Linked DNA regions of Rattus norvegicus. The protein of the gene in region 1 interacts with the protein of each later gene in a pairwise test. Links are inferred from orthologs where the notes say so. Each region holds a gene or a part of one and is shown in the gene's direction. Other genes may lie near its edges.

Region 1 (3,749 bases):
AGATTTCAACTTTTTATTTGTTTATTTATTTACTTTTCAGGATTCAGAAATCAACTGACTGCAAAGGTCAGAGAAAACATTTTCCCTTCTACTTTTTTTTTAAATACAGTAAAAGCTTGGTTTAGCTTACAGTGCCCAGTACAAGTCCAGAATACAAGAAAAGCAAGGCTGGGGGAGGAGCTTGGCACTCAAATCTACTCAGCTATCAAACAGCGATATTCTGCTCATCTCAGAAAGAAATGAAAATGTGTTAAGTAGCACAGAAATTGTCTCGAAGCCTGTGCATCCATCTGCCTGTCTGCTGGGCTTGGAAGAAAGGTCTGTTAGCTGGAACTCCATGCAGCCAGAAGTCGGAAAGGTAAGAGGTGTGCAAAGTCTGCCATTAAGTAGGAAGAAACTGCCTGCGATGGTCCCAGAGGGTGAATCCCACAGGAGCTACCTTCCAATCCTGTAACAGGGTTCTCAATAGTAAGCCACTTTTTCAAGTGCAAAAAAGCCTTTAGGCAGCTGGTTTTCGACGGTTGGGGTTTATTTATTCCTTGCTCCACAGATGGGGGAAAAAAAAATCAGCGTCTGGCAGCCGCTGATTGGTGGAAACGAAAATGGTGATAGTGGAGTGGGAAAGAGGATTTGCTGAGCCTCCCCCTGCCTCCTCGACCTGTAACTCTTCCTTAGTCGGCTCCCCTTCACACCCAGAAGAACCTTTTTAGACTCCTTCGGGGTTAAAACAAATGGAATTCTCAGGCTGTGTGAACAAAAGCAACCCGAAGGGTGTGTGCTCCCTCCCCTCGCCTGGCTCCGCACACAGATCATTTCAGGCGGTTCAGTCCTCTGGTGTCCGCTTCCCGGCTCGTCCGGAGGAGGGGGGTCGCCTAGAGGAACCGAGAACAGGCTGAGGCAGGGAAGAAGGGGATGAGATAGGAAAGAGGCCAGCTCAAGTTCAGCCACGATAAAACCGAAGGCCCCCTGAACTCGAGGTGAAACTCAGGCTACCCTCTCTTCCCTCCTCCTGGGGAGCGTGCTCCCGGTACCCACAGCCCTCACGCACCGCCATCCCGTCCCCTCCCTAGGAAAACGAGCGAAGGCACGAGGCAGGCGAGGGGCGGGGAGAGGAGCTGACAAATCAGCTGCGGGGGCGACGTGAAGGAGCCAGGGAGCCAGAGCGCCCGGCAGCAGACGGCAGGAGACCAGCAGGTGCTCCCCCTGCCCTTGCCCCTCAGCCCAGAGCCTTTCACCCCTCTTGCATTGAAATTAGATTGGGGAAAACAGGAGGAATCAGAGTTCTGCGGAAGCCTAGAGAGCCGGTAAGTACCTGTAGATGCAGTAGCTCTGGGGATCTTGGAGAGCCCTAGCTAACAACCTGGACGCCTAGAGGAGACAGACTATGGCTACCTTGGCCGTGGGGACAGAGTCAGTGACTGGAAAGTACATCACTCGGTTTTCCTTCCGTTGGAGACGTGCCCTGCCATCCTCTCAAAGCCCGAGGGAAAGGCCAGGTTGCCTGTGGCATCTGCTTTTTTCAAGCGGAAACGCTAGGGTGTTTCATGTTGGATGCTGGATGCTGGAAGCTGAGTGCTGGGCATTGGGTGGAATTTGAGCATCCAACTTTTATACTCCAGCCCCAGGGCATTTCATCTTCCTTCTATAGCGGAAGAAGGGTGCATTTGGCCAGTGATTAATAGAAGTGCAGAGGACAGTAGGCAACAGGTGATAAGGGGTTAATGAGCACAGGGTGCAGGGTCTTCTAGAGGATTCCAGCTGAGGACAGAGCTTCATGGTTGGGTGGTGCTCAAGTGATAATGCTCAAGTGCATGGACAGCCAGCGCCTGCTCTGGGCAGATAGCCAGCAACTAGCTAGTGGTGGGTGGAAGGTCTTGCTAGGTTAGAAAGACTGGGCTGAAGGCAGTTGGTCTCCAGTTCCCTACTTCTGGATTAAACAGTTCCCCTCCCTTCCTTCTCCAAAGATTGACGACTCCTCTCTACGTCTTTTTTCCCTCTTGCCCCTATTCCACCTCTGCTCCCTCACCCTTCAGTTCTTTTTCCAGATAGTCTTTTTACTTCGAATGTCTCCTTTGGGCCATGGGAACTTGATGGGGTAGAGGAAGTCCGTCTCCTCTTCAGTAACTCCTGAAATGTGTGAGAACAGCCAAGTGATCCATCTGGATCCATCACATTCTTAAGTGGCATGACTTTTTACTAGTGTTGAGTGAACTGCTCACAATCAATCAACACTGTGCCCAGTCCTCAAAAAAAAAAAAAAAATCTCACACCAGGATGAGGCAGGAGGGGTGGGAGGCATATACTTTTTTTTTTTTTTTGTGATTTCTTTCGCCTCAATTTCATTTCTTTCTCTAGCTGTTTTAAACCTTGCTTTCTTTTACCCCAAAATTTCTAATTCAAAATGTATTCTGTATTCTCTAGTGTGGAGCAAAGATACATCTTTAGCCATGGATGTGTTCATGAAAGGACTTTCAAAGGCCAAGGAGGGAGTTGTGGCTGCTGCTGAGAAAACCAAGCAGGGTGTGGCAGAGGCAGCTGGGAAGACAAAAGAGGGCGTCCTCTATGTAGGTAGGTAGTGACACTGTGACTAATGAATCAGGGTGACTGCTGTGTGCTGTCTGATTCGTGCGCATCACAGCTTCTCAGCTGACAGAGTGACAGCTATGGGGAGGTGAGAGAACGCGAACCGAACCTGCATATTAACTCTCAGAAACAAACAGGGACAGTGCTTTCTTTCCTTAGAATAATTAATTTTGTCATTTATGTAGGGTTTTTATTTGTTTTTCTACAATCTTGTGCATGATTACACTGAATTTTTAAAATTGTCAACCCATGAAAAACAACCAAGAATGTGCTTATGAATCAAAGACATTTATGGCAGCAAGCTTGGTGGCACATATCTGTGATGCCAGGGTTTGGGAAGTGCAGGCCCAAAGATCAGGAGTTGGTGATCATCTGTCAGCTACCAGTGTGTTTGATGTCAGTCTGGGCTATGTGAGACTCCAGAACAACAACAACAACAACAACAACAACAACAACAACAACAAAACCCAAACAACAAAAACAAACAAACAACTTAAAAAAAACAAGCTGCAAGTACTCTGGGACTTTGATTTCTTTCATCATCACTATAGTTAATATTAAGTTTAGCGAATTACAATGTTTAAAACAAGACTTTTGCATGATTTTGCATGTAGTGAAAATACAAATACTTTGGCCCCCAAAAGAAAAGGAAAGCAAGTCTGCCTCAGCATGTCTCCCTTTAGGGATCACTTCGTTGGTGTGGATGCAGGAGCTCAAGGAACCCCAAAAAGATTTGTGCAGTTCACCTGTCCGAGATCATGCATACGGGGAACAGTAAGAGGTTGATAGTGCCATTTTGCCTGACAGTATACCTTGAAAGAGAGGCCAACACTTCCTTTATCTTTTCTCTGTGTTAGATTGGCTCTAACTTTACAAATCCCTTCCAATACTAGGATGGGAGGAACAGACACACATGCATACACCCTCATGTGCAGCAGAGGCCCCGTGCACATGGGAGCACAGTTGCAGGGTTCATTGACCTCTCTTTCCTTTTTTGAGCACCTGTTTCCACCTTCTTAGGAGTACATCTACCTTGGTAGAAGACCTAGGATAAACATTCAGACTGAAAAGGTGCAGGACAGGTGACAAAAGTGACAGAGATGCTACCCAGAGTACCAATTGAGGGAAGTCATCCTGACCCTCCAGAAGATCAGTGTGGAATTGAC
Region 2 (3,649 bases), on another chromosome or scaffold:
CCTCGTGCTCTAGCACAGGCAAGGTTTTACCAGCTGCAGATAGTTTCTGCTATTGTGTGACATTTGGAATTCTGGGAACTTTTCAGAGGATATGTAAATGCTAGGGCCCCGAGAGGTGTGATTGGTGGTTGTTCAGGGGGTTGGTTATGGTTTGTTAGTAGTGGTGCTCAAAGAAGAAAGAAATTAGATTCAGAGATCTCTTTTTCTCACCCCTCTCTCCTCCTTTTTCTCCTGTCTAGTGAAACCAGAGGGGATAAAGGATGGGAAAAAGAAGAACTCACAAAGTAGCAAAACCTAGCCTGGCCTGGTCTGTCTTCTTTGTAGACTTACCAGGTTGTGGAGCCTGCCATCAGCCTTCAGCTTTCTTGGCAGTGCTAGTAACCCAGAACCTTCCTTTCTCCCTTGCTGCTACCTCTGACTCCAGCTCTTGGTTCACACCTTGCAGGAGTCCCGTGGTCTGGCTGGCGGCAATGACGTCCAGGCAGAGGTCCCTCTGTGGTCTGGCTGCTCATGGCCTCTGGTTCTTGGGCCTTGTCCTTCTGATGGATGCAACTGCTAGACCTGCCAACCACTCATTTTCTCGGGAAAGAGCAGCCAACAGGGATGAAAATGAGATCATACCCCCAGACCACTTGAATGGGGTGAAGCTGGAGATGGATGGACACCTCAATAAGGACTTCCATCAGGAGGTTTTCCTGGGAAAGGACATGGATGGGTTTGATGAGGACTCAGAGCCACGGAGAAGCAGGAGGAAGCTAATGGTCATCTTTTCCAAGTAAGTGTCTCATAATGTCCCCTGCAAATGCATGCTAAGGGACTCAGCATTCGAGATGATAATTTAGTTGCCCTAGTATTCTTCTAGCACAGCAGAGTCATGACTCCTTTGGGGATGAGTGACTCTTTCACAGGGGTTGCCTAAGACCATCGGAAAACACAGATATTTACATTGTGATTCATAGCAGCAAAATTACAGTTATGAAGTAGCAACAAAGATGATAATGTATGGTTGGGGGTCACCACAGCATGAGGAACTGTACTAAAGGGTTGCAGTGTTAGGAAGGTTGATAATGTATGGTTGGGGGTCACCACAGCATGAGGACTGTACTAAAGGGTTGCAGTGTTAGGAAGGTAGATAATGTATGGTTGGGGGTCACCACAGCATGAGGACTGTACTAAAGGGTTGCAGTGTTAGGAAGGTAGATAATGTATGGTTGGGGGTCACCACAGCATGAGGACTGTACTAAAGGGTTGCAGTGTTAGGAAGGTTGAAAACCACATTTTAGTACCTTGTACTTCGATAAGATAAGCTAGGCTGCTTAGCTATGCCCAAGCCCTCATGGCCAGGAAGGCCTCAGAATAAACTTCTGCCCCTGCCCTACCTCTCAAGGACTTTGTTGTGCACTACTGTTCGAACTAGACTATCAGTTGAAAAGCATAAAGTCAGGCCAAGCGAAAGTAAAGTGGTCTTAGCAGGTTATAATTTCAGGTAGAGGAGGGCTGGCCCAGGGCTGCCTAGGAAAAGGTCTAACAAATCAATAAGTTAAGAGCTGATGGGGGAGGAGGACACAGGCTGGTTTGCTTGGGTCCCTACCCTCCCTCCTTCCTTTCTTTTCCTCTGAGATAAGATCTCACTGTGTAGCCCTGGCTGGCCTTGAACTCACAACTGGTCTATCTAATTCTACTTGTCTGCTTGCTTGTCCACTTGCTTGCTTGCATTGTGGTTTTTTTGAGACATGATCTCTCTATTAAATAGCCCTGGCTATCCTAGAATTTGCTATATAGACCAGCAGGCCTCTATTTCCCAAATCCTGGGGTTAAAAATGTGTACCATTACAGCTGGCTCCTTTTCTGCTTTCTCAGTGCTAGGATAAAGGTTTCTGGAAAAATAACTCAGGGAGGACAAGCTGTAATCTCAGCAGTTGCCCTAAGCCTGACCCTGAAGCAGAACATGCAAGGAAGGAAAAAGGCCATCTGAGTCACTGGCATTGAGGTCTGCCACATGGCAGCAGGCAGCCACAGAACAAGGAGGAAAGGTGTAAGGAGAGGTTCTGATGTTAACCTTGTTTCTCAATTGGTCCTTGATTTGTCAATAAAGAATACTGGTGACCAATTGTTGGGCAGAAGGTATAGGTGGGACTTCTGAGTCCCAGGAAGAAAAAAGGCAGACGTAAGGGAGGAGAGGGGCTTTTTGTCATGTTTTGGAGGAAGAAGGATGTAATAATCATGTAAGACCTTAGCGAGAGCTAGGGCTTGTGGCTGCCTCTATGCGAGTGGCCAAGGATGTTTGGCAGGGGCTAGATGGAATGAGCCGTTAAGTTTAGGGCAGAAGGAGAGTCGGAGATAATTGATAAGGACGCAGTGGAGCAAAAATGAGCTGGGAGGGGCTGTATTAGCTCTACAGCTCCCCAGAAGGTGGTAGGTTTTTAAACTACACAAAACAGAAGGGGCCTTGGAAAACTAGTAAGGAGGTTCAGAGATTCCGAAAAAGCATTCCTAGGTTCTGAGCATCCAAAAGAAAGAGACAGAAGAAAACAAAAGCAGGAAGTTGCATCTTTCTGAGTTAGGATTTAGGTGGGCAGACTGACGTTTTGTATGTGCTTGGCCCAGGGCTGGCACTGGTGGGAGGTGTGGCCTTTTGGGGGTAGGCGTGTCACTGTGGGCGTGGGTTTAATACCCTGTCCTAACTGTCTGGAAGCCAGTCTTCCACTAGCAGCCTTCAGATGAAGATGTAGGTCTCTCAGCTCCTCCTGCACCATGCCTGCCTGGATGATGATGGACTGAACCTCTGAGCCTGTAAGCCAGCCCCAATTAAATGTTTTTCTTTATAAGACTTGGTCATGGTGTCTGTTCACAGCAGTAAAAATTTATTCTCTCTCTCTCTCTCTCTCTCTCTCTCTCTCTCTCTCTCTCTGTGTGTGTGTGTGTGTGTGTGTGTGTGCGCGCGCGCGTGTGTGTGTGTGTGTGTGTGTGTGTGTGAGAGAGAGAGAGAGAGAGAGAGAGAGAGAGAGAGAGAGAGAGAGAGAGAATGGAAATAGAGGGCAGCTTACCTGGCTCTTCTCTTCTACCATGTGATTTCCTGGCATAAAACTCAGATCGTCAGGCTTGGTGGCAGGGCCTTTTCTCGCTGAGCCATTTTATTAGTTTTGATGCAGATTCTTTCTGATACTCACTCTACTAAGTGTGTTTAGTTTTGGAGTTCCTGTAATCTATCCCTAAATCCCAAGATCTCTGTCACTAAGACCTGGGTTCTGTTCTTGGGCAAAATGTTAGGTTTCCAAAGGGACTTTGTTATACATTTGTTGCCTGTGAAGGTGCTTGTGTGGTTTAGCTGAGGTATGTGAACTGCTATGATTAGAAGGGTTATGAGCCAGGTATGGTAGTGCCTTTAATCTCAGCACTCAGGAAGCAGAGGCAGGTGTGTCTCTGAGTTCAAGGTCAGCTTGCTCTATAGGACTGGGCTACATAGAGAAACCCTATTTTGAAAAATTAAACTAAACTAAATAAATAAATGAACAAAGGGTTTTAATTCCATCCATCGTATCTCAAGTGGGAAAGTCTCTTCCCAGTGATGATCTATTTTGTCCTTAAGTAGCAGCTCCTGACTTAACTGCTCCCATACAATTTATACAATTTTCCTTACAGCCCCTGG

Evidence for each region. The genes of interacting proteins can lie anywhere in the genome.
Region 2: the proteins of Snca (region 1) and Sdf4 interact in a two-hybrid assay, tested with the Homo sapiens proteins (2 studies listed by BioGRID and IntAct). The link is inferred for Rattus norvegicus from reciprocal best matches to the Homo sapiens genes SNCA and SDF4.

The regions. Positions count from the first base shown.
Region 1 is NC_086022.1:91,123,733-91,127,481, reverse strand, and holds the start of Snca (alpha-synuclein), read left to right. Parts: upstream 1-1,166; 5' UTR 1,167-1,304; intron 1,305-2,421; 5' UTR 2,422-2,447; coding exon 2,448-2,568; intron 2,569-3,749. UniProt on the Homo sapiens protein: Neuronal protein that plays several roles in synaptic activity such as regulation of synaptic vesicle trafficking and subsequent neurotransmitter release.
Region 2 is NC_086023.1:171,871,870-171,875,518, forward strand, and holds part of Sdf4 (45 kDa calcium-binding protein), read left to right. Parts: intron 1-445; coding exon 446-775; intron 776-3,649. UniProt on the Homo sapiens protein: May regulate calcium-dependent activities in the endoplasmic reticulum lumen or post-ER compartment. Isoform 5 may be involved in the exocytosis of zymogens by pancreatic acini.